2 linked regions of the Mytilus edulis genome follow. The protein of the gene in region 1 purifies or fractionates together with the protein of each later gene. This does not show direct contact. Links are inferred from orthologs where the notes say so. Each region holds a gene or a part of one and is shown in the gene's direction. Other genes may lie near its edges. The genes, in order: ubiquitin carboxyl-terminal hydrolase CYLD-like and mitogen-activated protein kinase kinase kinase 7-like.

Region 1 (17,576 bases):
TACTGTTTGTCCAAAATTCTTTTTTATATCTATTCTTCATATTATTTCCTGATTATGCGTTTTTCTGTCAACCACCATCCACTACATGGGTTTTTTTTCCTCCCCAAATCCACAGGCACTTGTCTCAGAAAAAAATTTCCTATATACGTTATTATAACATAAGGTATATATAGGAATTTTTTTTCTGAGACAAGTGCCTGTGCCGAAATCAGTGTACTGCAACAGCTTTTGTGGAAATATTTAAAGAAAAAAAAAGTAAAATATAAATACACGTATATATGCATTATTTGTTTAGATAGGTGAATTGTATTATTTTCCTTTACCGTAAATAGACAACAAGCCTGGATCAGTATCTATGGCACGCGGGAACCACATAAATGAGATAATCACAATTTATCGGGGATAATGATAGATTATAGGTCGACCATTATAGATGTACGGCGTAAAGTATACTTTACGGTTGTAAATGCATTTACGAAATTATCGTCGACAATCTATCATTATCGATCATAAATGCATTAACAGTCGACAATCTATAATAAAGGAACGCGGGAACCACATTATTGGATAATTACAGTTTAACGGGCGATTCGTAAATGCATTTACGCCCTGTTTTCGATAGCAATTCATATGTACCCAATCACAATAGGTTATCGACAATGCTAATTAATTTTGTCCAATCATATCCATCGATTCAAATGACAACGCGTTTAAGTCAAATTGATCGTCTAGCTAGATCTCAACAACCGACAATTAATAGTATTTTAGAATACTGTTTATCTGTAAAAATTGAGACGAAATTATATTACATGCAAGTTTACAGTTATTAATTATTATACTTATAATAATTTTACCGTGACAAAGTTAATAAGTTATAACTGGTACTAATTTCATATACAAGTCGTTGTAGAATAATTTACTTTCTAATTTCTATATTAATGCATCATTTATCATTTTTAATATAACAAAATATTTTTTTTTATATCAAATATTTTATATTAAAAAATCGTGCATTTTTTTTTTTTTATCATTAACAGAGACACACATATATATAATATATATGTACCGTGACATATATTGTTTTTCCGGATTGAATACCATAGTATTGCCCAGTGCTTCTGTTTAAATAAAGTAATTTGTTTAGTTGTAAAAACAATTACCAAGTGATAATCCATTTAGAACTTCACCTCCAGCTTAATTTCAGGTGATTAATTGGAGGGCAATAAATTGCGCAATCGCACACCTGTAAATCCAGTCACAACTCGGGCTACAGAACTAATTATTGGAAAATCGGACACATATAATTTTACTGTGTAATTAAGAAGCAAACCTTAGCAAATAAATGCGGTACAGAAAAGTTTCTTGCAATATCAACTGATCATTACCAGATTTTAATTTTTAAATTAAAAGAAATGCCGAGAAAGTAGCTTTTTATTTGTTTGGTGTATATAATAACCATAAATCCACTTATTCATGGTATGGCATCAATATTTCTGACCTGACACTACGTACTTTATATTGCTTAATTCTATAGAATTTAATATGCAATGTTTCGGGTTCTTTCAGGAATATTCCAAGGTAAACCCTCATCAGAGGCCAACAAATACTGTCTAGTGAATATCTAATTGTACATAATTAAATAAAGTTTATCAAGAGAAACAAAAAAGAATCATATAGACGGTGAAACATTTGTAAAAGAAAGTAAGCCTCACAGGCAGACAGCTTAATCTGAAAGAATCAAAATATTTTAATTTGGCAGAACTATAACCAATGAATATCTATAGACAGAATATATTCAGAAACAAATTTTGTACATGTTGCTATTGTTTCTAATAATTCTCGCAATTTGTAAAGGAATTAAATTCAAATAGTTTTTGTTCACCGTCTTCTTTGAATATATTAAATCCATTATTTCTCGTTCTTTTGTGCAATTTGATATTATTTTTGTAAGATATTGCTTTATTTTATTGTTTATTATTATGGTCATTGTCAAATATAGCAATATAAAATATTTCCAGGAAGGCAACTCCGCCCATTAAAACGCCAACGATCTGTTGTATTATAATAGCATTACTTCCATAGGTAGCTCATTGACAATCATATTATTTGTAATCAGGTTGCATGGTAACTTCTAAGGTTTGATACGATTGGCGAAGAATTATATATTGTTGATTGCTTAAAACCCAGTGGCAAGTATCTCATGTATGTGTAGGATGATGGTATAGTGATGATATAAGGTTGTTTGCTTTTATAGTAGTATAACTTCTATAGTTCACTGACAATCATATTAGTTTCAATGTTACCTTCAATGGTTTGAAATAGTGATGAAATATTGACTGTTGGTTGCTTAACGTTCAGTGGAACATATTTCATGTATGTTTAGGACGATGAAATAGCTATATATATATATATATAGTGATGACCTAAGGTTATTTGCTAGTATAATAGTATAACATCTATATTTCATCGACAATCATATTAATTTGTATTTATTTTCCATGTTTCCAACTAAGGTTTGACTTGAAATAACGACGAATTATTGATTGTGATTGTTTTAATGCCAGTGACAAATATTTCATGTATGTGTAGGACGATGATATAGTGATGGCCGAAGGTTGTTTGCTAGTATTATAGTATAACTTCCATAGTTCATTGACAGTCATATTGATTTATAACTAGTTTTCATGTTCTGTATAAGGTTTGAAATGATATAGCGATGAAATCTTGATTGTGGTCGCTTAACATCTAGTGGCACATATTTCATGTTTTTTTAGGGCTATAATATAGAGACAAGGCTGTTTGGTAGTATAATAGTATAAGTTTTATGGTTCATTGACAATCATACTAGTTTGTACGTAGTTTCCATGTTACCTTCAATGGTTTGACATATTAATGAATTATCGATTATTGGTTGATTAACGTTCAGAGGCAAATATTTCATATATTCTTAGGACGATGATATAGGCACGGAGATGACATAAGGTTATTTGCTAGAATAATAGTAAAACTTTCATAGTTCATTGACAATCATATTACTTAGGTCTTTCTACCTTTCCGTGGAAAGACCTATTGATTTTGTTCTGATTATTAGGTCTTTCCACCTCTCCGTGGAAAGACCCATTTATTTGGTTTTGATTATTAGGTCTTTAAACTTTTCCGTGGAAAGACCTATTGGTTTTGTTCTGAGATTTATTGTTTTTCTTCCGCCACATTTTGTTCTTACGTAGTATTGTGGTTTCGCAAGATGTCGCCTAGATTTTTTCGCATATGATATCGAACAGTTATTGCGCTTTTGAAACTGACCCTGTTAAACCGTACACTTTACATTGTAAGTGTTATCTCCCCGAACACTGTTTTCCTTGTGTCCACTACTCCTTCACAACCGTAAAAAATTACGACAAATTTATTTTACCAAAGTGCTTGCTATATCTTCAAGATGATGACTTGGATTGCACCAAAGTTCTTTCCCCTTATGCATTTGATATAAGTGATATGCATATAAACTCATAAACCGTAAGCCGTATAAACATAGAGTCGCTTTATTGAAGGTCCTTGGGTCCCAACTTAGAAAATTAGGTCAAGGACAAGGTCATGTTCAAATTTTGACATTCACTTCAAACTGCTTTTACTCAGAAAAATGTTCGGGGTAAAATTTAAAAAAATGTGAGCAAAATGTTACATTACACTGTAAGTCGAGAGTATTCGTCGAAATTATACGCTTAGTATTTGGGGGGGTTTTCATGCCACTGAAATGGAAAAACTAACAAATTAACTAATTATAGCTTCAGAATTTACATCTATCATGATGCGTACATGCAACTTATCTTTGTAAATCATCCAATGCCAACAAAAACCCATCTAGCCCTCCCTTTTTTTTGGAATCCAATTTCTATTTTATTAAAAAAAAATGCTAATCCTTCTTATTTTATGAATAAATTTCTTTCTGAAATACAAATTTATTCCTGCAAAATAAAATCTGCTCCAAATCATGTACATGTAAATACATTCAAATAAGAGAATTGATGAATATCCTATAGTCAAAGCAGGTACTTGATGAATATCCTGTAGTCAAAGTAGTTACTTGATGAATATTCTATTATCATAGCAGGAACTTCATGAATATCATATAGTCATAGCAGTTAAATGATGAATATCCTATAGTCATAGCAGTTAAATGATGAATATCCTATAGTCATAACAGCTTCTTGTTGAATATCCTACATTCAAATACGAGAATGGATGAATATCCTATAGTCATAGCAGTTACATGAGTAATATCATATTGTCATATCAGGTACTTCATGAATATCATATAGTCATAGCAGGTACTTGATGAATATCCTGTAGTCAAAGCAGTTACTTGATGAATATTCTATTATCATAGCAGGAACTTCATGAATATCATATAGTAATAGCAGTTAAATGACGAATACCCTATAGTCATAGCAGTTAAATGATGAATATCCTATAGTCATAACAGCTTCTTGTTGAATATCCTACATTCAAATACGAGAATGGATGAATATCCTATAGTCATAGCAGTTACTTGAGTAATATCATATTGTCATATCAGGTACTTCATGAATATCATATAGTCATAGCAGGTACTTGATGAATATCCTGTAGTCAAAGCAGTTACTTGATGAATATTCTATTATCATAGCAGGAACTTCATGAATATCATATAGTCATAGCAGTTAAATGATGAATATCCTATTTTCATAGCAGTTAAATGATGAATATCCTATAGTCATAACAGCTTCTTGTTGAATATCCTACATTCAAATACGAGAATGGATGAATATCCTATAGTCAAAGCAGGTACTTGATGAATATCCTGTAGTCAAAGCAGTTACTTGATGAATATTCTATTATCATAGCAGGAACTTCATGAATATCATATAGTCATAGCAGTTAAATGATGAATATCCTATAGTCATAGCAGTTAAATGATGAATATCCTATAGTCATAACAGCTTCTTGTTGAATATCCTACATTCAAATACGAGAATGTATGAATATCCTATAGTCATAGCAGTTACTTGATGAATATCATATTGTAATATCAGGTACTTGATGAATATCCTATAGTCATATCAGTTACTTGATGGATATCCTATCGTCATATCAGGTACTTGATGAATATCCTATAGTCATAGCAGTTACTTGATGAATATCATATTGTCATATCAGGTACTTGATGAATATCCTATAGTCATAGCAGTTACTTGAGGAATATTCTATTGTCATAGCAGGTACTTGTTAATTTTTCTATAGTACTAGCAGTTACTTGATGAATATCCTGCAGTCATAGCAGTTACTTGATAAATATCGTATAATCATATCAGGTACTTGATGAATATCCTTTAGTCAAAGCAGGTGCTTTTTGAATTTCCTACATTCAAATGCGAGAAAGGATGAATATCCTATAGTCATAGCAGTTACTTGATGAATATCATACTGTCATGTCAGTTTAATGAAGAATATTCTATAGTCAAAGCAGGTACTTGTTCAACATCATATTGTCATAGGAGTAACTTGACGAATATCATATAGGCAAAGCAGTTGCTTGTTGATTATCATATAGTTATAACAGGTTCTTTTTTAATGTTCTATTGTCATAGCAGTTACTTGATGAATATCCTGCAATCATTGCAGTTACTTAATGAATATCCTATTGTGATAGCAGTTACTTGAGAAATATAACATTGTCATAGCAGGTACTTTATGAATATCCTATAGTCAAAGTAGGTACTTGATGAATATCATACTGTCATAGCAGTTTAATGAAGAATATTCTATAGTCAAAGCAGGTACTTGTTCAACATCATATTGTCATAGCAGTAACTTGATGAATACCCTTTAGTCATAGCAGGTACTGGATGGATATCCTACATTAGAATAAGAAAATTGATGAATATCGTATAGTCGAATCAGGTACATGATGAACATCCTATAGTCATATCAGTTACTTGAAGATATCCTATTGTCATCGCAGATGCTGGATGAATAATCTGCAGTCATAGCAGTTACTTGATGAATATCCTGCAATCATAGCAGTTACTTGATGAAAGTCCTCTTAAGATAGCAGTTACTTGAGAAATATCTTTTTGTCAGAGTAAGTACTTTATGAATATCCTATAGTCAAAGTAGGTACTTGGTGAATATCATACTGTCATAGCAGTTTAATGAAGAATATTCTATTGTCAAAGCAGGTACTTTTTCAACATCATATTGTCATAGCAGTAACTTGATGAATACCCTTTAGTCATAGCAGGTACTGGATGGATATCCTATATTCTTAGCAGCTACTTGTTGGATATCCTACATTCAAATTAGGGAATTGATGAATATCCTTTAGTCAAAGCAGGTGCTTTTTGAATCTCTTACATTCAAATACGAGAAAGGATGAATATCCTATAGTCATAGCAGTTACTTGAGGAATATCATATTGTCATATCAAGATCTTGATGAATATCCTATTGTCATAGAAGTTACTAGATAAATATCTTATAGTCATAGCAGCTTCTTGTTGAATATCCTACATTCAAATACGAGAATGGATGAATATCCTATAGTCATAGCAGTTACTTGATGAATATAATATTGTCATATTAGGTACTTGATGAATATGCTATAGTCATAGCAGTTATTTGATGGATATCCTATTGTCATAGCATGTACTTGATGAATATTCTATTGTCATAGCAGTTACGTGTTGAATATTCTATATTCAAATAAGGGAATTAATAAATATTCTATAGTCAAAGCAGGGACTTGGTAAATATCCGATCGTCATAATAGTTCCTTGATGAATATCCTATTGTCATAGCAGGTACTTGAAGATTATCATATAGTCATAGCAGTTACTTGAAAGAAATCCTATTGCCAAAGCATGTACTTGATGAATATCCTATAGTCGTAGCAGTTACTTGATGGATATCCTATTGTCATAGCATGTACTTGATGAATATCATATTGTCATAGCAGTTACTTGTTGAATATCCTATATTTTAAATAAGGGAATTGATGAATATTCTATTGTCATAGCAGGTACTTGATGAATATGCTATAGTCATAGCAGTTATTTGATGGATATCCTATTGTCATAGCATGTACTTGATAGAATATTCTATTGTCATAGCAGTTACGTGTTGAATATTCTATATTCAAATAAGGGAATTAATAAATATTCTATAGTCAAAGCAGGGACTTGGTAAATATCCGATCGTCATAATAGTTCCTTGATGAATATCCTATTGTCATAGCAGGTACTTGAAGTTTATCATATAGTCATAGCAGTTACTTGAAAGATATCCTATTGCCAAAGTATGTACTTGATGAATATCCTATAGTCGTAGCAGTTACTTGAATGATATCATATTGGCAAAGCATGTACTTGATGAATATTATATTGTCAAAGCAGTTACTTGATGAATATCCTATAGTCAAAGCAGTTCATGATGAATATCCTATTGCTATATCATGTACTTGATAAATATCATATACTAACTCAAAGCAGGTACTTGTTGAATATCAAATTGTCATAGGAGTTACTTGACGAATATCATATAGGCAAAGCAGTTACTTGTTGATTATCATATAGTCATAACTTTTTGAATGTTCTATCGTCATAGCAATTGCTTGATGAATATCCTGCAATCATTGCAGTTACTTAATGAATATCCTATTGTGATAGCAGTTTCACAAGAAATATAATATTGTCATAGCAGGTACTTTATGAATATCCTATTGTCAAAGTAGGTACTTGATGAATATCGTAGTGTCATAGCAGTTTAATGACGAATATTCTATAGTAACCTATAGTCATAGCAGACACTTGATGAATAACCTATAGTCATAGCATGTACTTAATAAGTAACCTTTAATCATAACAATTACTTTGATTTAAATCATATAGTAGAAACAGTTACTTGATGAATATCATGAATATTCTTTAGTCAAAGCAGTTACGTGAAGAATAACCTACGATCATAGCAGTCACTTGATTAATATCCTATAGTCATAGCACTCTGTGTTTTTTGGTTTGTTAGATGTATTTTTGTTTGTACCCAACTGATGATATAAGCTTTTTTCCACTAAATTTAATTATAGTTTATTCTTATGTTGTACTGTTTTATCACTGTCACAGGATATTAGGAGGGTTAGTGTCTTCGAATAAGTTTTAACCCACCACATTCTATATGTGCCTGTCCCAAGTCAGGATCCATTCAGTGGTTGTCGTTTGTTGCTGTAAAACATATTTGTTTTCATGATTCCGTGCATAAATTGTTTTTACATTTGTCATTTTGGGCCTTTTATAGCTATGCGGTATGGACTTTGCTCCTTATTGAAGGCCATATGGTAACATACAGTTGTTAATTTCTGTGTCATTTGGTCTATTTTGGAGTTGAATCATTGGCGATCATACTACATCTTCTTAATTTTTTTTATGAAAGTCTGGTTCTTCTTTTTAGTTATCGAAGAGTCATGCACAAACAACGGGAATATTGGAAAATAACCTTTAATACTTTTTTTCATTTTTGAAGAATGTAAATGAATTTTCCTTTTTTCTAAATTGCACTCATTAATTCTATATCTATTTAAAAATTTACTGAGAAAAAAGTAATCAAAATTACGGTATATAGCTCTTAGGCAGATTTGAATTTCGGGGGAGGGGCAAGGACTTTTTTTTCTGGACAAACTTTTTTTTGGCGAAAAGACGAAAACAATTTTTTTCTTTCAATTTTAGAATTACATATAGTGGCAGCTGAGGATGAAACAAACACTTTTTTTTCTCAAGGTCAAAAACAAATATTATTTTTCTCCAAAACCTGGAAACAAACTTTTTTCCAAAAAAAAATCCATAGCACCCCCCACCCCCAAAAAAAAAATCAAATGCTACATATTAAAATAGGTCATTTCTATAATTGTAAAAATACTTTATCTGAGTTATCTCCACTAATTTGGCAAAGCTGAAAACAAATTACAGCCGTAAAAATGAGAAAACACATACCAACAATCGATCAAATGTTGCTTTAAAAATGAATTAAACAATACAAGCCACAATTGTATTCAAGACAGCAAGTCTGTTGTCTGTTTTTATAGTAAACATTTACTGAAATCGTTTTTGTTCATTGAGAATATATTCCTAAGACAAGCTCAAGTATGTCAATTAATTCATAGGGCATCATGTGATAGTTGAAGTTACCCAGTGCAATCATTTTGTGTCCAACTGTGTCTTTAAAACATATCAAATGTTGTATCCACTGTCTGCTGTTCTGTAGTGTGTTAGGTCGCGGCTTTTTTTTTAAACTTTAGCCTCCCACTTCGGCAATAACAAATCATAGAGGGGGAGGACGGTTACCCGGGACAAATGTTTTTTTGTCAATTCATAAAAATATCGTTATAAGTAACAACTTTCTGTATTCTAAGATCTGCTATGACATCACAACATTGAATTCACCAAGGTACACTTAAGCTTTTATCTATAGATGTCTTATTAAAAATAATATTCACGGAATCTTAAAGTATTTTCTATGTTAAACATATATAATGTCTGAGATATTTTCTTATGCAAATAAGTTTAAAATTTTCATTTTTTTTTAAGATAATAGAGTAATCAGATATGTAATTTGACCCATATCTTGCGGTTCATCGATTTTCGGTAAAATCAAAGAAAAACCGGCAAGATTAACATTGTTAAATACTTCATTTATTTGTTATTCTGTTTATTTTATTATTTTGAGTTTATGCATTAAATATCAATTTCTAACAAAACATGATTTTTTTTTACATTTAATAGTACTCCTTCTTGTCAAGAGTGTCGTATTATAAGTTTTTAGTGCACTTAGGAGTCCTAATCAGTGTTAAGACACACTAACTTCATAAAATATTATTATATGAAATGATATATAGATTTCTGAACAAAAGAACAACCCAAATAATTACACACAAAAAAAGAACCATAGAGCATAAATCTTTAAAGATTTCTTGTTTATGAATGTTGAAAATTTGTTTCTTACTGTTAAACAGTCTCGAATTAATTTATTGATTATAAAATTCTTTAAAAAACACTTTTTCCCTGTTATGTCAACGTTTATTGGGGTCAGTTGTTATAGAAATTTAACTTCTGACACCTCTTAGCAATATTACAGGTAAACATGTGATCATCTAGCCACCTGTAATATGCATTTACCTGTAAAAATCAAACCTTTAAGAGAAAAAATACAAATATACATGTATATGATAATAAAAGGTATTTTACTTTGTAAACGATAGAGAAAACAAAACTTTATTTATGTGTGGAACTTTTAAATTTTACAAGAAGCTTCAATATTCGAGGATTGAAAATTGGAAACTATGTTCCTCTTGTGTCCATTCTGTTGCACGAATAGTCCGATGCACTTTACCATCATAGTTAATACAAGGATGTGAAGTCCGAAATTTATTTTTTAAAACACCTGTTGAACATGTTTTAGAAAGGGTAACTTTTGCTTTAAGGAATTATTTTCAAGGAATTAACTTCCAAAGAAAATAAGTTGACCGCCAATCAAAATCGATTTTACAATTGGCTAGCATTTCCGGTTTTATCTAAAATTATCAAATTTACGACTTGTGTTTTAATTCACTTGGTCGAGGTTAACTATCATTGTCGAAACAATTCACCTTGTCGACTGTAAATGCATTATCAAAGAAGTAACTATCATTGTCTGCGCGCGAGTCACATTAATTAGACCATCTATGATGGTCGACCGTAAAGTATACTTTACGCCGTACATCTATAATGGTCGACCGATAATCTATCATTGTCGCCGATAAACTGTGATTATCTATTAATGTGCTTTACGCGTTCCATAAGTATCATATGTCGTTCGTTGTCTTTTGTTGTGGTATTATGACGTATCAGTCTATTTTAAGCGTTTTGGAGTTCCCCAAAGTTCGATAATGATTCCCCGTTTGATGATGCCACGAATATAAACAAATGTCGATGAAATAGGACTGGATATGTCTGAATATCCTCAAGATGAATACTATATACTTCTTACTACAAAGATAGGGAAAAAGAAGGAGTCAGGAATTCTTAGAAAATCATATTCTCGTGTGGAAGTCCTAGCTGGCACACTTCTGCTTAGAGTAAGCGATAGTGAGAGGGACGAAAATGGGATTGCAATTTGGACCCTAGAAACATTAGAACCGGAAAACATTGAAGTAGAATGTAAACCAGTATTCGATGAAATAAAACAAATTGATAGATTGGAACTACAACTATTACAGCCTATCCCAGTATGTAGTGAAAGGATTGCAGTTTACATGAACAGTAATTGGCTTCAAGAGGGCCTCAATTTAAAGGTTGGAGATGGAGTTATTGTTTATTTAAAAGGTCACCCTGAGTTACAGGGCCTTCTCAGGTATAGAGGAGAGCTACCAGGACAAAAAGGAATCCAATTTGGAGTCGAATTAGCTCCGGTAAGAAGCCCTATCCTCAAAATATTTCAGAGGTTTATCATAAGATACTAGTCCGCGGAACAGTATCGGACAAAAATATCCGGATTTATTCGAGATATTACTAAAATTTTCTGCACATGTTTCTCTGTTAAACATGTTTTCAAGCATTATGAAGTGAGTCCCATATCTCTGTTCTTGATGATGCAAGATTTACAAAATGGCTTTTCATTATTAACATAATTTTAGATAGAAACAGAAAGTAAAATAAAAGATGGAAAGTTTGAATTAAATTATGTCAGAGGTCAGGAAATAACAGGTAAGATGAAAATACACTGATTTCTAAAATCTAATTTATTACAATTCAGTTAAATTTAGTAATAATGCAACATGAGGTGTCGGCAGGACTTATTTAAAATGAAAGTACATTTTGTACCTGTACATTTACCTATTAAAATCATGTTTAAATTAAAGCATAAACAGTCAGAGATATTTATAACTCTATAGGGTACAGAAAATAACTTGCGTGTGTGATTACAGTTACTTTCATGAGTTGTCTACTCTTTATTCCTTAAATTTTTTGAAATCTGTAATAACATAATATATTTGTTATTTGTAAAATTATTTCATTTATAGTGGGCTCTAGTGAACTCTTGAGACTTTGCGCAGAAACTAAATACATAGCCTTGATAACTAATTCTTTAATTTAATTAATACATTTTTTATTAACCATGGTAAATCAATAAGACGGAGGCTATTAAGGGATAAACTTAGCTGTGATAACAAGGCTAGGTTATTAAAAGAATATAACTTTTTATATACATGATATAAGACACTTGGGAATTACAGAGAAACTTGTGCAGAACATTCATGACATTACATGCTCTAGATCTGGTCATTATTTCTTACAATAAATAAGAATACATATATATATGATATAGAGAAGCTGTGACAACACCCTTTAGTTATTACAGGCAATTTTTTTCTGCAATAACATATATACATGATATAGGTGTACTATGCAAAATTGACAAACTACATGTATGAACTGTTATACATTGTATCTTTCAATAGTTAAGTTTACTAATAGACAAAAGTAATATCAAGAGAACTTTTATACATTTAAACTAAACTGATGATGTATATTGTCCCTTTGAAACATGTAACATACATATATGTTATCACAGTTCTTTGATTTTTCAGTCCACAATAACAAATGTATGTTATTTTTCTGTAATAACCCGATAGAGTTATATCCCTGACTGTTAAAATGCAGTCATCTTTTGTAACTTGTTTAATAAGTCAATTGAATTCCTAATTTATGAAACTTGATTAAAAAGTGTGTACAGAGCTAACAAATTTATACAATAATTCAGAAATTATTGCGTGCATTTATTATCGCGATTTTGTCATTTTAGACTAAAATTAATCTATAAATGCGATCTTAATTTTTGCAATATTGAGAAATATCCAATAAGTTCATATAAATTTTTCAAAACGAGAGTTTAAATTATTGCAATGTAAACCTTTGGCATTTTTGCATTAATAAAAACATCGCAATAATTTCTGAATTTATAGTATTCATATTTCTGATTCCTGTTTTTCCTGAAATTAAGGATAAGGACAATGAATAGTACCCCAGAAAATTTTGTTAGAATATATACAAAATATAATTATTTATCATGTTTATAGAATGTGACAATGCAAAAGTACATTGTACAAAAGTATAAGCAGATAAGACTTTTTACATGTAACTAGTATAGATATTTAATATTTAAATTTTCCTGATGCCAGATGAATACTAGAAATTGAAGGCATTATTTATATATTTCATGTATTTAATTCTACATTTTCTAATTCTGTAATCATGCATACATGGCACATGTTTACTTACATGAACAAGAAATTTAACTACTTACAGAGTACATTGTACATACATCAGTTTCTTCTTTAAAATTTAAATTCATCTTATAAATTGTCCTGGATGGAAATTTCCACCAATGAAAACAAACGAAGCAGACTAAGGTATCAACTTACAAATGTACATGTATGTAAAAGTAAAGGAAGGTTATACAGGTCATGAAATTCAAATTCTTTGAAAAAAGGATACATGTGCCATTTATAACTTGTAACATAGATGTACTATTCATGAGTTATAACTTTGTTAAACAAGTGAAGTTATATTAATTTTGTAGTATAAAATTTCAAAACTCCATGAAAAAACCCATGTTATGCAATGCTAAAACAAACATTTAAAAAATAGTAATAATATACAGGCAGCATACAGTCCAATATACAATAACCATGGTAACAGACATAATTTATTGTCGAGCCTGCAACTTTTGTTGCAGAAAGCTCGACATAGGGATAGTGATCCGGCGGCGGCGGCGGCGGTGTTAGCTTACTTCTTAAAAGCTATATATTTTAGAAGGTGGAAGACCTGGATGCTTCATATTTTGTATATAGATGCCTCATGTTACAAAGTTTCCGTCAGTCACATGTCCATTGTCCTTGACCTCATTTTCATGGTTCAGTGACCACTTGAAAAAAAAGTTCAGATTTTTTGTAATGTTAAATTCTCTCTTACCGTAAGTAATAGGATAACTATATTTCGTATGTGCGTACCTTGCAAGGTCCTCATGCCCGTCAGACAGTTTTCACTTGACCTCGACCTCATTTCATGGATCAGTGAACAAGGTTAAGTTTTGGTGGTCAAGTCCATATCTCAGATACTATAAGCAATAGGTCTAGTATATTCGGTGTATGGAAGGACTGTAAGGTGTACATGTCCAACTGGCAGGTGTCATCTGACCTTGACCTCATTTTCATGGTTCAGTGGTTATAGTAAAGTTTTTGTGTTTTGGACTGTTTTTCTCATACTTTATGCAATAGGTTTACTATATTTGTTGTATGGAATGATTGTAAGGTGTACATGTCTAGCGGGCAGATGTCATCTGACCTTGACCTCATTTTCATGGTTCAGTGGTTATAGTTAAATTTTTGTGTTTTGGTCTGTTTTTCTCATACTTTATGCAATAGGTTTACTATATTTGTTGGATGGAATGATTGTAAGGTGTACATGTCTAGCGGGCAGATGTCATCTGACCTTGACCTCATTTTCATGGTTTAGTGGTCAAAGTTAAGTTTTTGAGTTTTGGTCTTTTTATCTAATACTATATGTCATAGGTCAACTATATTTGGTGTATGGAAATATTTTATGGTCTATATGTCAGTCGCGCAGGTTTTATTTGACCTTGACCTGGTTTTCACGGTTCATTGCTCAGTGTTAAGTTTTTGTGTTTTGGTCTATTTTCTTAAACTATAAGCAATAGGCTCAACTATATTTGTCATGTTTGTTGTATGGAAGCATTGTTAGCTGTACATGTCTGCCTGGCATATGGTTCAACTGACCTTGACCTCATTTTCATGATTTATGTTAAGTTTATGTGACAGTCATAATAAAGCTTTATATTTAGGAGTATCAACATAATATCAATGATTAGTAAAGAAGGCGAGACATTTCAGTGTGTGCACTCTTGTATTGTACAAGGTCCTATTTTTTGTCAGGAAAGTACATGCATTCTTTTCTTTCTTTCAGAAATTGACAGACCAGCTTTTTTTAGTAGTTGTTAAAGTCATATCTATATATATATGGATTTATATTTTGGAAAACAAATTTCAAAAAGTTTTGAATAATAAAACTTTCAATAAATATTTCAGTTGTTTTACATGCATGTAGCATGATGTTTTAGGGCATCATATCTTTTCAATTCACCTATCCTTCAACTTTGGTTTATCTGATATAAGACAATAGCAATCAAAATCAAGGAGTAAACAAAGACTCATAAAACCAAGGGACATTTACATCAACAGTTATAAATAATAAATAAGAAACAACACAAACTCCACTAAAAAACGGGAGTGAAATCAGGTGCTCCGGAAGGGTAGGCATTTCCTGCACCGTATACGGCACCCGTTGTGTTATTTCTTTGTTCAGTTTGGTAATAATATGTATATATACATGATATATATAAGTTTAAACATTCGTTGGTTTATTCTATTTTTCTCCTATACCCAAATGTTCTTGTAACAACTTTTTCCTCAGATTTCTGCAAACAAAACCTACAAATGTATAGAATCCAAAATGCAGGAATCATTGCATAAAAATATTGTGTTGATTTTTTGGGCCTTTTTGGAATATTAGCTGTGTCACAGATATATGGTTTATTTGTTGCTTATAAAAGGATATACATTTTGTACCTTTACACGAAAACTGGCAATCATGGTCTATTAAGATTAGAGTCAAATGCACTTGCCAAGAGCTTAGTTTTAACTCACAACCTACATTTTTGGAATAAACTTGCTGTCAGGCAATCTGTAGACTTTTACCATTGACTCCTTTCCGTGGCTCTTGACCATGTTGACCTTTTTGTGCTTTACATTAGAAACAACTCAGATTCTTAAGATTATCTTGTTATGTTAGAATTCTGATATTAAGATGATAGTCAGACCCAAACCTCTCATATTTGGTGATTTGAATTCAACATTGTTTTAAATTGGAAGATAATTTTTACAGTTTGGTTTGTACAAAAATTATTTATTGATATTTGTATTTAGGATTATTAGGATCAAATAATAAATGCATAAATATATAAATATTTATAAGGAAAATAATCTGATTACCAAATTTGAATGTGATCAATTCTGAAATTATTGCCATTGATTTTCTGGATATCAGACTTACACAATGTCCTCCAAAAACATTGCAAAAAATAAATCACAAATCATTGCCACCAATTGCAACTGTTCATGTATTTCCTGCATACAGGGGCATGACTTTTTGAAGTTTTTCATTCATAAATTTTTTAAATGGATTTCGACAGGTTAGGAATGTTGGAGATCTATTTTTAACTTGATAGAATTGTTATTATTTTACTTTTCTTTCGAGAAAAATGTCCTGGTATCTGGTTTTACCTGACTTTTCACCGCATTGAAACTAAATGAATCGCCTTAAGGAAGTTTTCTTAGCTTTTGACTACATAAAGTTATCGTTTAGTGTCACTTACATTTTGACCTATTACGGAAAACCAAATCTGTGTTTTTATTTGTACGATCAGACCACTATTTTAAGGAGTGGTTCACCATGTCGTGGGGTAAATGATGCTTTTTTATTAATATCATTGCAATGATTTCTGTTTGTAACTTCCGTGGTCGATTTTTTGAAAATCTAAAGATTTACAAATGTATGTAGGCGTAATTTTTTTGGCATACTATCAAATATTTATGTCACATACATGTAGGCCTTTTTTTTTTTTTAAGATATTGTGCAAGCTTGCACTGATCTAGAAGACCTGCTTGATACAAGAAAAACAAAAAAAAACAGTTATTATTCCACAAAATTATGCATGGAAGACATGCACATTTTCAAATTTTCACACAAACTTTTTCTCTCAACAATTTCTAAGTATTCTTGTCTTGATAATTTGAATAGATCTGTTGCATATAAAAATGATACTTTGATCTTTTTGTCAGCAAGCACACAAGATAATGAGTCAGTGATATCCTAACATGCCTAACAGACTTATCAATGTAATAAACAAAATCTTAATTATCTATCTGTTTTGTGGGATGTACCAAGCCTGCATCCCTCAAAATGTAACCAAAGGAAGTGAAATATTTGCTTGTTGTGATCTGGGAAATGAGGACCCTCCATTTTGTGACTTTCAGGTGACATTTTACAAAATCATATCAATACATTTCCCCATAACAAAATGTAAATTCACTTGTGCATTAGTGATTGACATCAAATTGCTGTTGTGATGATCTTCGAGGCAGCAGAAAGACATTTATTAATGCTGGACTAAATATGTTGAGAGTAATATAACTTATCATGCTAATGAGGTATGATTGAGAACTATTCTGTACTGCAAATTCTGAAATTGTTTCCTGGCCTTCGGCTGTTTTCTGTTCTTCGGTCGGGTTGTTGTCTCTTTGACACATTCCCCATTTCCATTCTCAATTTCATTATGCAAATTATTGCTGCAAATTTGTCATTTTATCCCAAAATGACTTAATATTATTGTGATACTGAGAGAATTTTGCCATCAAATCCAAAATGCCAGTTTAAATTA
Region 2 (16,762 bases), on another chromosome or scaffold:
TTTTAAAGGTGTTGTTAAGGTGGCTCCTGGGTACAAAAATTTTAGCAAAAAATTAAACCTTTATTTTTTCATTACAAGTTTTATTTATTACACTATTAGTTATAACTTTATGATATGGTACAAAAATCAACCCAAAAAATTGATTCAGTTTGGTCCCAGATGACTTTTAAAATGTTTATATCATTGAAAAAGCTCCAAATTATCTCCCTTTGGTGCAAAAATGCCATTTTTTGTCATTTAATTTGAAATATCTTTTTTAACTCATCGGTGACCTATATTTTTTATTATTGTTTTCAAATAAGCTGTACATAAACTAAATAATTGTAAAATTTAAGCGATTTCTGTAATTAGGTTATTTTTTTATTTCGATATTACATCTATTTCTCCTATTAGTTCAACAGAAAAAAAGGACATTAACAAAAATTTATGCTTGTTCCAGAGGCAGATTGTGAGCTTAAATGAACGGTGACCCCATCTTTTTATTTCATTTTTCTTTTAAGTATATGATAAAGTTCATTTATAAAAAAATATATCGAAATCCTATATTAGAAAAAAAAATTGATTTAACTGTTAACTATTTTCAACCCACTTTGTTAACAGCTATCAGCATTTTTGCATTTGTTGTTAACTGTTTTTGTCCAATTTGAGGTGTTGTTAACATGTTAACGGACCCCCTATACACCTTATCGCTATTTGTCCGACATTACTGGAGACATGCTGGCCACGGATATCACACAGGTTCCCGTAAAATTTTGACGTCATAAAGCAAAATATCTGACGCCACAATGGAAAAGTGATTGTTATATGCATCAAAAGTTCAAGCGGTCGGGTCAGCCGGGATTAGCGATAAAGTGTATTGCCCCCCCCCCCCCTTTTCACTGAACTACAAAAAGTCTGAATGAACATTCAGAACAAGTTTAAAATATTGACAATGAAGAGGTCTGACACCCAAAATTGTAGGTGTCACGCATGACCGATATGCATTTTATTTATATAATTACAGATATCTAAATAATATATATTTTAACCTTCATTTTGTAAATCATGGACAAAACTCAAAGACGATTTCGCTTCTTTTTTACTCTTCTTTGATTTTTTGGAAAGCTTTGGTCCTTCAGCATCATTAGACTGTTCGTCAACTTCCATTTCTTGTACATCGTCATCCTTTTCTTCGTCTGATTCCTCTTCTGTTACAATTTTTCTACCTCGAAAATTACGTCGCGGCTTTTTAAACGTCGCCATGTTGCTTCAACAGCATACACTAAAGTGTTGATTTGAAATAATCATCTGGTAACCCTAATTACATCAATCAAATCAAATCTGAATCAAAAGCTTAATTTACAGTCGGCATGTTACATACCAATCGATTCTTTCTACTTTTATACTTCCTTTTGTTTCATTGTTCGCAGATATTTAAATTATACAAATGCAAAACGAGTAATAATGTATTTCCGGCTCCGCATTATAGTTAGTTTTACTGTTCCAGACCATACGAGTATTTGGACTGTAGGCGTACGGCCCGGACCGTATAAGTATACTCGTGTGGTCCGACCATACGCGTACGGTCCAGCTGACCATACATGTTTAGGTATCATATCATATGGATTAAATCTAAGAAAGAAAAACCAATTACCAAACATTTGTAGTTTTAGTTCTACAAGATGTTATTTTTACATTAGATGGATAAAGGAATAAGCGTACAATTGAAATTAAATGTTTGTTTAATTCTATATCTGATGATTCTATTTATGTACTCTCGCTCAAGTTGACACTTACTACCACAATGTTATTATTTTTTTTTTTACATTTACATGTTTGCAGTTCATGCATGTTTCTTTGCATATGCATTCTTGTTTTAAAGTTCCCAAATATTCTAAAACAATTGTCCCCCTTCATTTTGTTTACATCCGTTAACTTCAATTTCAATGAGCATTACTGCCATGCTAATATAATTACAGGAGATTAACAGATTAAACTAGCGTGACCTTTTTAAAAAGTTAAAATATTAAGTCAGTTTCATTTCAATATCTATTGAACTTTTTGTATTAATTTGAAATATAAGATTTGTTGATCTGTTATTTACATTTGAATCTAATGAACTAACTTCTTAATATTAGCCAGACCGTACGCGTATATAAGATAAAAGTCCCAGTTAATTATACAAAATTATATATTTTTAATATATTGTCGAGGGGGATGATGCATGTGATGACACTGATCCGGTAAGGTTGCAACATGCGGTCACTCATAATGGGAATTGCAGTTAAAAACCCTCCCATTTTAACGAAAATGCCTTTAATATACTCATAATAGCATACTGATATACTTATAGTTACTTTAAAAGTCACCATTATTCATTGTTCTAAAATCCGGGCCCATGGTTTCTTTTTCAAGAATCAACTCTTATTCATTGATGTTAATAAAGTAATCAGGCGTAGATCAGAAGAATATAACGTTACATAATTGCGTCTAAATAATTGTTGCTCTTTGTTTGTTCATCATTGTTCTGTTTGTTTCATCACAAATAAGAAAGGACTCTCCCTTGACACCATTTGCGAGTATATGGTCTTTAGAAAAGATGATAGTCCGTTAGAAGCTAGGGGACGATAAATGGCTTACCCATGTTAAGAGAGAGAGAGATATCTCTTACACGTAAACTGTACACCCTTATAGATTTCGAAAAAAAACAGGCCGCAGTAATGCCGCTACAAGACACTCGCACCCGCAAAGTAGAAAGGGATTAATATAAGTACCAATAAACTGTTTCCGAATCCACTATAAATAATTATGTTTAAACTAAAGGACTCTAACAAATATACTATATTCATTTTGTTTTAATTTTGATCTTTTAAAAAATGAATTGCTTTTGCCTAGTTGGCTTATAAATCACAGCTGTTGCAATTAAGCAACATTGCATCAAGTAGCTAGAGGAATGTGATGGTTATTTGCCTCCATTTTCAAAACAAAACTGAATTCGGTTATTTTTTGCACCGGGTCTAAGTGAATAAACTCATCGTATAGATATCATAAGGAACAATGCTATTGTTGTTCCGCGGTTATCGTTTGTTGATAATGATGTGGTTTATAAGTGTTTCTTATTTTTTTTAATAAATATTAGACCGTTGATCTTCCTGTTTGCATTGTTTTAAACTAGTTATTTAGTTTGGACCCGTTATATAGTTTGTTGTTCGATGTGAGCCAAAGCTCTGTGTTGAAGGCCGTACTTTGACCTATTATGGTTTACTTTTTCCAAATTGTGACATGGATGGAGAGTTGTCTCATTGGCACTCGTACCACATCTTTTTATATCTACTCAATTATTTAATTAATATGTGATTTTATAGCAAATATATGGTAGTATCTAAGCGGCTTTAACAAATGCCTGATCCATACTGTAAAGAAACAGTGATGGCTCATGAGAGGGTTCTGAGAGTTATTACATTATAACACGTCAAGTTCTTTGGAAACCTTCAACGTAACAAAACATATTATTTCATGTCTGATTTTTAATCTAAAACGATCATGTTTGGTTTATATGATCAAATTTTCTATTTCAAACTTTTTTTGTATTCAGTGACGACCGGAAAAACTAATTCTATAATAACCAGAAATGTAAAAAATAAAATAATGTCTGTGCATGTAAACAGGGGAACTTGGACCGAAAAATGAAGTTAAAATAGTGGATATACCGGTATCAGATATCATATATATTATTTATATATGTTGCCCTACAGATATTACCACCATTGTATACTTTTGGCCGCTACACGAATATCTCGTTCTTCTTCCAGGTAAGGAACCGGATTCAATACTGAATGTTCATGGTTCCGCGCGAAAACTTTACGCAGTGTCGGGCAACACAGAAAGCTTTCTTTTGGCTATTTACAAATACATTTAAAACGTTCGCAAAAATATACAATTAAAATTATTTACAACTGGGTTTTCCTACTTCCTTTCAGAGCATGCCTTCAGGGCAGATCTGAATCCCTCAACGGTGTTGGTCGCTGTAACTGTTGTTGGTAGGTTGTTCCAGTCCCTGATTGTCCTCGGAAAGAAAGATTGGCCGTAAGTGTCTGTACTTGTTCTTTCTTGGAAGAAGCGGTTTTTACCTCTGGTCCGGTTATCATTCGGTGTCAAATATTGGTGACGGTCGATATTTATAAAATTATGCTGGATCTTAAATAGCATTCATAATCTATTTGTTTTCCTCCGTTCTTCTAGACTTTCCCATTTCAGATTTTTAACCATATTTGTGACACAGCCAGGTGTTCGGTCTGTGTAGTTGTTATTCACAAATCGTGCAGCTCTTTTCTGGACCTGTTCAATTGCCTTGATTTTATTTTGGGCGGTTGGGTCCCATATTGTGCTTGCGTATTCCACTGCAGGTCTTACCATGGATACATACTCAGCTGCCTTTACAGGTTTTGTACAGCCTTTGAGGTTTCTACGTATAAATCCCAACGTTCTGTTTCCTTTGCCTACTGTATTGTCTATGTGTTTATCCCATGTTAGGTTGTTGCTGATAGTTACTCCAAGATATTTGCTTGCTTCCTCTGTGTCTAGAGTATGACCGTGTAGCTGGTACGATGTTTGTATCACTGGTCTATTTTTTGGGGATATTCTGATGACAAGGCATTTTTTTTGGCATTAAAACTCATCTGCCATTTGTTTTCCCAGTCTTCCAATGCTGTTAAGTCCTTTTGAAGTAGTTCACTGTCAGCTTGGTTGGTGATGGTACGAAAGAGTAGGCTGTCATCCGCGAACAATTTGGTCTCTGATGTAGATGCTGTTTCTGGCATGTCGTTTATGTAGGCCAGGAACAGTAATGGACCAAGGACTGTGCCTTGGGGTACACCAGAGAGTACTGGTACTTGTGAGGAGACAGCACCCTCTAATATCACGCTCTGCTTTCTGTTATGTAGGAAGGAGCGAATCCATTTATTGGTTTTGGGGTTGACGCCATAGTATTCCAGCTTGTGTAGGAGGCGGTGATGTGGTACCTTGTCAAATGCTTTTGCAAAGTCTAGCAGGATGATGTCTACTTGGCCGCTGCTTTTTAATTTTGATGCAATGTCGTTGATGGTTACGATTAGTTGGGATTCGCGTGATCGTCTTTTGCGGAACCCGTGTTATGCATCAGTTAGTATTTTATTTTTGTCAAAGTGGTCCATGATGTTGCTGTGTACAATATGTTCTAAGACCTTACACGTGATTGAATTTAGAGATACTGGTCTGTAGTTAGATGCTAGGTGCCTTTCGTCTTTTTTAAAAAGTGGAACTACATTGGCATCTCTCCAATCTTGCGGGACTTCACCAGTGTTCAATGATGTTTGGTATAGGTCTGTGAGTATCGGAGCAAGTTGTTCTGCTGCTGCTTTCAGTATAAAGGCTGGTATTGAGTCGAGACCAGTAGCTTTATGCGGTTTCAGGTTTTTTAACAATTTGTGGACTCCGTTGGTACTAATTTTTATGTCCTTCATGGTGTAGTATGGACTTTTTCCTTTATCTGGAAAGTTATTTAGGTTTTCTTTGGTAAATACTGACTGGAATTGATCGAGGCGGATCGAGCCACATTTAAAAGGGGGTTCCCAACCCAGGAGAAAGGGGGATTCCAACAATATGTACATATTCAATGCATTGATCGTCAGTAATATCTGGTGGAAAATGATCTACTTTATAATTTATAAGCTGGTTCCAGATCTGCTTATTCTACAGATACATGTCTTATTCATTTGTTAGATCATATTAAAAATGAAACTGCTAAGGGTTTTTATACTGGAATGATAATGTTAGATTTACAAAAAGCCTTTGACACTGTCGACCATCTTATATTGTGCAACAAACTACAAAAAATGTAATAAATGGTTTGAATCATATTTATGTAATAGACAACAAAAAGTTAGTATAAATGGTACTGAATCTGATTTAAGATATATTACATGTGGAGTACCACAAGGGAGTATTTAAGAATCACTTTTATTCCTATATTATAATCTATATGTTAATGACATGTCTATAAGTATTAGTAAAGACTGCAAAATTTTACTATATGCAAATGATAGTACCATACTATACTCTCATAAAAACCCAGAAGTTATATCTGAGAAACTTGGTAAGGAACTTGAATCTTGTAGCAAATGGCTGATTGATAATAAATTATCACTTCATTTGGGGAAAACAGAAACTATTCTGTTTGGGTCAAAACGTAAATTATCTAAAATCCGTAACTTTGATGTTACTTGTAAAAATCACACAATTTCCTCGCAATATTGTGTGAAATATTTAGGCCTTAATATAGATAATTCTCTTTCTGGAGAAATTTTTTTAAATACTATTATTCAAAAGATAAATTCAAGATTGAAGTTCCTATACAGACAGGCAAAATGTTTATTTGAACAATCAAGAAAGACTTTAGTTACAGCTTTAATTCAATGTCATTTTGACTATAGGCCTGTTCTGCATGGTATGCTGGTGTCAGCAAAAAATATAAAGATAAGTTACAAGTATTACAAAACAAATGTGTTAGATTTATAAAAAAAAAAAACCACTGGATATAGTTCAAAAGTTGACCATAATGTATTGAATAGTATTGGTTATGTTAATATTGAAAATCGTGTTAAACAATTGAGATTAAACCATCATACATAATATTTATTACCATCATTGTCCTAATTATATTATTCAAATTTTATACAACGGTGAGAAATTTACATCATCATTTCACACGAAATAGTGCAACAATAATACAATAATAATTTATTAACGTCTCACCATCAATAATACAGTATACACATTTCACATTATAAAAGTAAACCTTTTTAAAATTATTAATGCCATAGGAATATAACTTCTGGGTTCCTCCAGTTAAAGACACATTTTATTTTAATGGCATACAATTAAGATTGGAATATGTTGCCAATTAATGTTAAAAAAAATAAAGAAAATAAAGAAATTCAAAATTAGCGTCAAAGAGCACTTGGCCAAAAGTTATAGTGCGGCGTCATCAGACTCCTTTTTATATTGTTAATCATATTTTTATATAAATTATTTTTATAAGAATTTTTATGTCATATTGATTTCTGTGTTATCTTTTTTGTATGTCGAAACTATAAGCCGTTTCCATGAAGGGACCCCATTGGAAACAAGCTTTAGAGTTTTCATGGCCGTTATCCCTGATAAAATACAGTCAGCAAATTTTTCATACACTTAAGGATACTGCACTCAAAATAATGCCAATATATTTTACCATATATGTGTTAGTATTGTCTTTATGTATCGTATATATTGTGTATTGTAATCATCATCATCATCATCATCATCATCATCATCATCATCATCATCATCATCATCATCATCATCATCATCATCATCATCATCATCATCATCATCATCATCATCATCATCATCATCATCATCATCATCATCATCATCATCATCATCATCATCATCATCATCATCATCATCATCATCATCATCATCATCATCATCATCATCATCATCATCATCATCATCATCATCATCATCATCATCATCATCATCATCATCATCATCATCATCATCATCATCATCATCATCATTTTAATGATTATGATTATTATTATTATTATTATTATTATAGACAATACCATCCAGAAAATTCACTCAGATCAGTACTTCCACAGATGCCTACAATTACAGCTACAAACTACGCACCATCACTGACTGGAACAGCCTGATTCTTGAAACCTTCCAAGCTAGTCTCTGGAAAGCTTCAAGGAGCAACTTCGGAGACTGCAGCTGTAAACAGAAACCACCTGTTTTTATCGAATTTTAATTGCAATTGTAAATACTGAGCACGCAGGTTGACGTTTGCACAGCAGTATCTGCGTTATGGATGTCCACTGCAGATCAATAGTATAGATTTAGATGTAGATGTAGATGCAATGCGTGTCAAATTCTCTTCACTGCACCGTCCAAACGACGTTAACTTTTCAATTAGTTGATTATAATTTAATTCCAATTACATTTGAGAGAGTGTCCAAACTTAAGTTTAAATCGAATTAATGTTAATTAACCGTTGGCAAGGCCGAACTGACACCATGGCCGAAACGTCTATTTTCATGTACGCATATACTAGTAAGTAGTCATTAACTAACAAATATGCATGTGCTGATTTGTGTCACGCCATATCCTTTACGTTTCTTTTATAAAGACTTGTTTCGTTGACGTTTGACAAAATCTTTAATCCTGAAACACCAATATCACTTTAATTAACATGAACATGAACATGCGATTGTCGTATTCACAATCGCGCTTGTTCGGTAACTTCCGGATGATTCCGGAATTATGGTTTAGGTTGATATCGACTGCATAACATGAACACATCAGTGTAACATGATTTGCTCTAATTCCAAAACGAGTCTCCCAAGTTCCTCCACTTTCAGTTCGACCAAAATATGGGCAGGGATTTTTTAAAACCTATTTCATGGAAAAGACGAACGTAGATTTATGAGTATTTAACTTAAAATGGAACCCACTTTTGTGGAGGAGATAGACTTTCGAGAACTACAATTCTACGAGGTTATGCTTCTTGTATATTTGTTTATATATGTTAGTCTGTCAAACCCTGTCCATGTTTTGATTTTCATAATCATATTCTCCATTGTATTATTATAGCTTAGAGTAGACATAAAGTTATGAAAGATACGATTACATTATGTTTGTGCATTGTCAACCACTATGAGTAGTAATCAGGTGGACAAAAACCTTTTAGATTATATGATAATTCTACAGTACAGCTCTAAAAAATTGACAATTCGGCCGCTGCTTCAACTTCCAAATTCAAGATGTGTCCGCCAGTACAGCCAAACTGTCAGTTAGGCCGTAACATGTGTGTTTATTTTTTTTTAAAATGAGTACAAAAAGTTACTGTTTCATTAATCTTTGACATGTATGGTTAAACAGACACATTGCACTCATTTTCGTATCGATTCAAAATACAGCAATGTCATCAATTATCGATACTTTTAGATTTTACAAATTCCATTTATACTGATTTAAATCTGTCACCAAATCTCCTAAGGCAGCAACCATTTGATTTTCTGGGGGGGGGGGGGGGGGGCTACAGATTTTTTTTCTGGACAAACTTTCTTCTTCGCCTGTGGCGAAAAACTAAACAATATATTTTTCTCGCGACAAGTCGAAAACAATTTTTTCTTTCAATTTTAGCATTACATATAGTGGCAGCTAAGGGGGAAACTAAACATTTTTTTTCTCTCAGAATCAAAAACAAATTGTTTTTTTCTCCAAAAACTGGAAACAAACTTTTTTTTCCAAAAAAATCCATAGCCCCCCCCCCCCCCCCCCAGTTGCTGCCTAAGGCAGTATAGATTATTCAATATTTTATTATGTGGGCCGGATCGACTTTGGGCCGGATTAGTTTGGAGACAGAACGACCGGATACCCATTATCTAAAGAAATGAAATTTATAAATTTGTAAACCAATAAATTCAGCTGGTAGTTGCTAAATTTACCACTTGTCATGCTTGAGAAAGAGTTTTTGGCTTTCCTTCATGAATCATTATTATTCTTATCATCTAAAAATTCTTTATATTAAACTCTTTTTATATTTCTGTTAATGTTATGTCATAAATAAATTTGTGTTTCCATGATATTGATTGAATTTACTTGGTTTTGTGTGGTTTATTTTGTTACATTTGATCATGACATATATCATGTATATATATTTGTACATATGTAAATGTATCTTACTTTACTATAGCTTACATGTACATATGAAATATTGACCAAAAAACAAAATTGTTCTTGTGGGAAGATGGATCAAATTTTTAGTCCTCAACTTTTTTTCATTTATGCCAATAAATAACTTACTTTTTAAATTTTTAAATTTGAAAAAAATATTTGTACATGTACAACATATACTTATATATCATTTACACCAGAATGTCTAATCTCAAACAACTGTCCATTGTTTAAAAGTTGCAGTTTAAAAATTTAGTACAAAATCATTGAGTTTGATACATTGTACAATGAAGATGTAATGTTGGAAATATATACTGTATTGTTGTTGATAGATAGAATGACAATCATTTATTTAAAATAATATTGTTTTAATTTTTTTTGCAGGTTGTAGGGAAAGGAGCATTTGGAGTTGTCAGTAGAGCAAAATGGAGATCAAAAGATGTTGCAGTAAAACTAATAGAAACCGAATCCGAGAGGAAAGCTTTTATGACAGAGTTAAAGCAGCTGTCAAGAGTTAATCATCCTAACATAGTCAAACTGTATGGTGCTTGTACTAAACCACCAACAGTAAGTACATTGTATATGGTTTAAATATGATCATGATGATAATGCATGTTTGTGGTACACCTGATCGTGCTGATATTTACAGTCTGCACAGTTAGCCACTAGTCCGATGACCCAGACTGGTAAAATTTCATTCAGACTAGTAAGTTTTTGCAAAACTTTGTTTGGACTAATAAGAAAAATGTCAGAATATTGGTCTTCGAACTAGTAGTTGAAAAAGTTTTTGGTGCAGACTGTATTTAAAAGAAATATTTCCAAGTTGAAACTTTGAAAGAATAAAAAACTTCAAACTAAAAAAGTTAAAAAAGATGTGTTTGGTTGTAGACATAGGTAAGAGATGAAAATCTGAAAATATTTCGCATCAGATATAAAGTCATCTTTTTCACACATATTTTCTGCATGTATTTATTAATAAAGGGAAGCATGTATTATAAAAAATAAGATGCTGTGTGATTACCAATGATACAACTGTCCATCCAAGTCACAATGTATAAAAAAATTAACAATTATAGGTCAAAGTATGGCCTTCAACACAGTCACAGAGCCTTGGCTTAACTGGAACAGCAAACTATAAAAGGCCCCAAATGACTAGTGTAAATCAATTCAAACAGGCAACACCAAATCTCTAATCAATATAAAAGACTAGAAACAAGAAACACCTATGAACCACACCAATAAACAACAACCACTGAACAACAGGCTCCTGACTTAGAACAGGTGTTTAAAAAATACAGTAGGTTTAAACAGGCACCAACCTTCACCCTAACCTTAGACCATGGTGTTACATTACAACATAAACAGACAAAGAAAATATATTAATATATATATATATATATATTAGATATTTTATTATACATGTACAAAGATTGCATGTTATTTTAGGTATGTCTTGTAATGGAGTATGCTGAAGGTGGCTCACTGTATAATGGTAGGTACTATAAACAACAGAGGTGTGTCAATCTTATTGAAGTACAGATGCTGTGTCCACATTTTGCTTACAAGTTTCAGACAATGTACATGTTCTGTCTTACATTCTGTTTTGAAGACATTTCCAGATCCTCTGGTTTTGATGAAATGAAACACTTCTTAAAAATCTCCTGGACAGGCACTTTCAAGATGAGCTGCAAAATGTGTCTTGAGTTATCTTTTCTAAATGAAACAGCTGCTTCTTCAATAGAACAAAAAGAACATTTGATTTATTACATAATTGCTCGAAAAAGGTTATAAGTTTTAAAATGGAAAGTCAATTTCATTGTAAAATAAAAAAAGAAAAATGTCTAAGCTAACAAAAACTTGACGAAACCCAAAAAATAGAATTTAGCCTTGAAAAAACAGTGATAAAATCTGATTCTCCTGAACAGCTAGCGATTCTTGTTCAATCACAACCAATTGCAATGTTCAAAGAAAAATATGATTATTAATAATTGCTGATAATATAAACATGATAAAAATAAGATGTTGTATAATTTCCAATGCGACAATTCTCCACAAGAGTCAAAAGGGATCATAAATATAACCAAATGGTACAAAATGTAGATTTCTATTGTCGCATTGCATAATTTTAAGAAATTTTCTACTCCTCTGAATTTCTGAATTCATTGGAATAATTACAAAATAGTAATTTGTTTTGTTTATGTTAAATATTGTTTCCTTATTCGACCTGCTTTAAAACTAATATACTTGTATATTGTAGTGCTTCATGGTGCTGGTCCACAACCAATTTATAACACTGCCCATGCCATGAGCTGGTTGCTTCAATGTGCCATAGGTGTGGAGTATTTACATGGCATGAAGCCGAAAGCATTGATCCATAGAGATCTGAAACCTCCAAAGTAAGTATAGAAAAAGCGTACCTAAATAAAGAAGTTATATATGATAAAGACAGACCATAAGAAAAAAAGGGCCATAAGAAGACAAAAAAAAGTTGTCTAATGATTTTACAAGTATGTTGGTGTCAAAACCTTATTTATATACTGTGGATACATAATCATTAGCGGGATACACATTTTACTGGTACAATGAACCTCAAATTTGGAAAATCAATGAAATACACATTTATAAATTTGTTAAACTGGGAAAATTAGAAGCCCCCAAAAAATCAATTATTCCCAAATACAAGAAAATTAAACAAGGAAAATAAATTAATTCACAGACTATTCATGTACATCACTGTTCCCTGATAGTTGTTGGAGTATAAAAGCATGTCCCTCAGAGTTAACATCCACAATTGGATTCCATTATTTTCCATCCAATTCTTCTTTCTTTATACTCAAGATAATTTGACATTATTCCTTGTTGCATCTGATTGATGGAAACCTATGAAGTATTTCAAATTACATATACATGCAATATATTCTACTAAATATTATTATTGAACCAGTTAACTATTAGATAAAGTATTCATTTCAAGAGAAGACATCCAATTAGAAATATATCTGAACCTACAGCAAATAACATATTTAAAAATAACACAAAAAGGTTACAACTTAATTTTAATTTCATCAACAATAGTTTATATGATCTGAGAAAAACTTTGATTATCTCCCTTTGAACAGCAAGTTAGAAAGGATGTGTTTTTCTTTTGTTTTATTTTACATTATGCTTTTTCTCAGCTACACCTAGATCAATAAATAATAGATTTGTTAATAATGTTAATTAAGATTATTGTCTTTATTTAAATGCAATTTTTTTTTAATCTGAAATTTCTATTAATGAAAATTTTGTGAGCTTACTCTTCCTCATCTTCTTTTATGTTTAGGGTAGTTGTATAAGAACAATATCAGAATGCATATAATATTACAGCAAATCCATTGAGTGTGAAGCCAAAGGTAATATCTTTGGTTAGCTTGCTTGTTAGCTGAACCGTGAAGTCATTGTTAGGTTAGGTAAATTACCCTACTTTAAGAATAGACTAGTCCAACAGAAAACCAATCGATCTGTCTGTTGGACTATGCTACTTTGAAAGGAGGGTAGTATACCTTACCTTATAAAGACTTCACGGTTCAGCTAACAAGCAAGCTAACCAAAGATATTACCTTTGGCTACACACTCCAGTGCTCTAGCTAGAAATCAAAAGGGGCAGGGTGCCATTGGAGGGCAGGGCACTTTTTATGATAAGAAAAGGCACTGCTCATTTCTTTGTCTACGTTTCTGTGTGTATCACGAGTTAACGAATCTCTTTTTTTTTTTTTTACTGTATATGTTTTTTTTTTTAATAAAGATGCTTTTCAACTATAGTCTTTATTTCATTGTTTGTGTAGTTATGAATGATATTGTACATCTTCATCAACATATTATGTTTTTACAGTTTAACTTCACTCTACCCATTATCAAAGAATATGTGGGTTTTTTTTTTTTTTTTATCTATATAGGAATTACAGCTTTTATTATTTCTTAAGCAATTGAGAGCATTACTAATTTAACAATGTTTAGAACATGGATTGCTAAAAGTATAATTATCAAGTAGAAATTGCAATATATATTTTTTAATATGTCCAAAGACAGTTAATATCTTTAAGGTAACATTATTATGTTATTGTATATTCAATTGGTAATTTATTCCTTTTTTTGATACTAGATAATATTTTTAGAGCACCAATTTGTAATAAGCTAAAACAGGGGAAGTAACTCCAAAATCAATTTCCACCACGTTTGGGTTAATTAAAAACTGTGCTTGTCGCTAACAAGTTGAGATGGAAGGCATTTCTGTAAAGGCATAGTTTTATTCTGATGACTTAAATTCAATTCTAAAGTCATGAAAGTCTTCATTTATATACCCTCTTCCATTGTGACTTGGAGATCGAAAATGCCGACCCAAGCTAAAAGACACTCGCTAACACATTCATCAAAAGTATGACAAAAAGATACATTGTCCTAATTAAATTACCTAGTTATTAACACCTTTGAAGTCTTTATCATTGTAATTGATTGTAATGACATGATTAACCTGGGGGCCCGGCAATCACACAGGTGTCATATATGTAATTAACTTGGAGATCAGAAATCGATGAAACGTAATTTTACCAAAACGGCACAAGATAATTTTGGGAAAAGACGTCAGGGCAGAAGGGCGCGGATGAAGGCACCCAGGGCGCGGCTAAGGGCACCCAGGGCGCGGCTGAGGGCACCCAGGGCGCGGCGCCCTTCTATTTTGGGCTAGCGAGACCACTGCACTCAATGGAATCCGCTGTCAGCAGTCAATCAATAATCATATTACATTCCAATACACATTTGAATTATACCTGTACTGCTATGCCATATTTAAATGTTTTTCATCATTTGCAGATTTAGGTATGAATCTTTGATTGTTTTTGTTAAATTTTTTCCACCACTTTATAGACTGTGACAATTTCCAACTAAACATTTTGTATGGAAAACTGTCTGTTGTTGAAGGCTGTTATTTTTGTCCTTGGGTTCTATTATATTTTATTGTCTTGTTTAGATTCACCTAACATTTCATTTTATGGTAATGGTACTATTTTTGAAAGAATTGAAATTTTGTAGTACCAATCATTAAATATGTATCATAAAAAAAAATCATAATCATTCCTTTTATGTACATTAGGTTAAATTAAAATTGATGACTTCATGGACTTTGTAACTTTATTGACTTTTTAACATATTTTCAGTTTACTTCTAATAATGGGAGGGACAGTTCTGAAAATCTGTGATTTTGGTACAGCTTGTGATATACAGACACACATGACCAATAACAAAGGAAGTGCTGCTTGGATGGCACCAGAAGTATTTGAAGGTAATTAACTACTTAAGAGGGTGGTAAAGGGTTATTTTTCGTGCAACGTGTTTTGCCATTTTTATTTTACGTGCAGCCGTGAAAAAGGTTCGTTATTCACTGTGTTTTGTGAAATCGGTAAAAAGATCTACGTGCAAGACATTTTTAATTGTTCGTTCATCGTGAAATGGCAATTTTTTTTCGCGTTCTTCCGTGCAGATACCCCCCTTTAAGCCCCTCACTTAAGAATCTAGTGTATTCTTGGTACTGTTGAAGGTTATCTACCATCAACCATCAAATGTATTGGGTAATATTTAATTCACCATTAAAGAGTCAAGTGCATTTTGGGTAATATTTAATTCACCATTAAAGAGTCATGTGCATTTTGGGTAATATTTCAACAACATCCTAAACAATGGTCATTTATCTGATTACATATGCTATTTTCATTTTGGTGTATAAACCATCAAATGAAAAACATATTTTGACAGATCCTCGAATGGCAACCTTAAATGAGATCTTGAAGTGTTTCTGGAAATTAATTTTTGATTGTAAAAAAGGTTAAAGTTAAATTTAGTTTAGCCATTTTTATGCAAAATGAGTGATCAGGACTCGCAGAGAAGGACCAAGATATAAAATATGGTATGCTAAAACCACCATTGTTCATTATATAAAGTAAATAAATTGTTTTTCAGATCTACATACCCTCTTTGTACGATTAAAAAGTTTCATGAAAATAAACTAATGATTCTGATTATGACAAAATTTTTGAACCAGGGTGTAATTACCCTCAACAACATCTTTTACTTGTAATTACACTTTAATACAGTATAACTTATCTTGATTAGAAGCACTCAATTGCATGCCATGTTTAAATAATATTCTTTTCTTTTGCCAGGAAATATGTACAGTGAAAAATGTGATGTGTTCAGTTTTGGTATAATTTTATGGGAGGTGATTACTAGACGGAAGCCTTTTGATGAAATAGGAGGACCTGCTTTCAGAATAATGTGGGCTGTTCATAATGGTAAATAGTAATGTTTCACATGTGAGATACAATGGGCTTAAAGTGTTTTAATATGGTTATATCTTCACATATTTATTACTGAATACAAATTGTACCAATCTATTCCTCCTTAATTTCAACTTTGTATTGGGTCAGTATCAAAATATTTTTTTTACTTTAAAAATAAATATGATATTTTAAGAATGGCCTCAGTGATCTTCTTTTTTTATATTGAGAGGTGGTTACCTTATTTTCAAAGTGCCTTCCCTGGGTACAATAACATTATAAAATAAATTTCTGTCATATGTATTGATTATGAATTTTAATTTTGAATTCATTTCTTTGCATTTCAGGTACAAGGCCTCCACTGATAAGTAATTTACCCAAACCTCTAGAACTTCTTATGGTCAGGTATGTATAGATTCTGTAATCAGTCTTATTAAGTTCACACTGTTGTATGCATGTATTTAATTTTAAATTACAAAGTCACATGTACAATTTTTCCTGCAAACACAGAAGTCAAATGGACAATATATGTATACAATTTTAGGTGAGGGCTATTCCAGAAAAAAAAATGTAGGGGGGTGGAAGGCACATTATATTAATAATACATGGGTGATGGGTATCAGAGCAACTTTTCACACTATAATGCATTATAATTCTCAATTACAATTGTCTGGGTGGCGGGTGCTGACAAAAACTGCCTTCCAACCCCCCCC

What was found.
Region 2: the proteins of ubiquitin carboxyl-terminal hydrolase CYLD-like (region 1) and mitogen-activated protein kinase kinase kinase 7-like purify together in Homo sapiens (affinity purification with western blotting; 4 studies listed by BioGRID, with this or other methods). This does not show direct contact. The link is inferred for Mytilus edulis from reciprocal best matches to the Homo sapiens genes CYLD and MAP3K7.

What each region holds. Positions count from the first base shown.
Region 1 is NC_092348.1:95,287,080-95,304,655, forward strand, and holds the start of ubiquitin carboxyl-terminal hydrolase CYLD-like, read left to right. Parts: upstream 1-10,862; 5' UTR 10,863-11,007; coding exon 11,008-11,469; intron 11,470-17,576. UniProt on the Homo sapiens protein: Deubiquitinase that specifically cleaves 'Lys-63'- and linear 'Met-1'-linked polyubiquitin chains and is involved in NF-kappa-B activation and TNF-alpha-induced necroptosis.
Region 2 is NC_092353.1:40,919,087-40,935,848, forward strand, and holds the start of mitogen-activated protein kinase kinase kinase 7-like, read left to right. Parts: upstream 1-8,365; 5' UTR 8,366-8,505; coding exon 8,506-8,559; intron 8,560-10,125; coding exon 10,126-10,308; intron 10,309-11,187; coding exon 11,188-11,233; intron 11,234-11,998; coding exon 11,999-12,137; intron 12,138-14,933; coding exon 14,934-15,058; intron 15,059-15,935; coding exon 15,936-16,064; intron 16,065-16,396; coding exon 16,397-16,454; intron 16,455-16,762. Other genes in the region: PAX3- and PAX7-binding protein 1-like, read right to left, coding at 1,029-1,242. UniProt on the Homo sapiens protein: Serine/threonine kinase which acts as an essential component of the MAP kinase signal transduction pathway. Plays an important role in the cascades of cellular responses evoked by changes in the environment.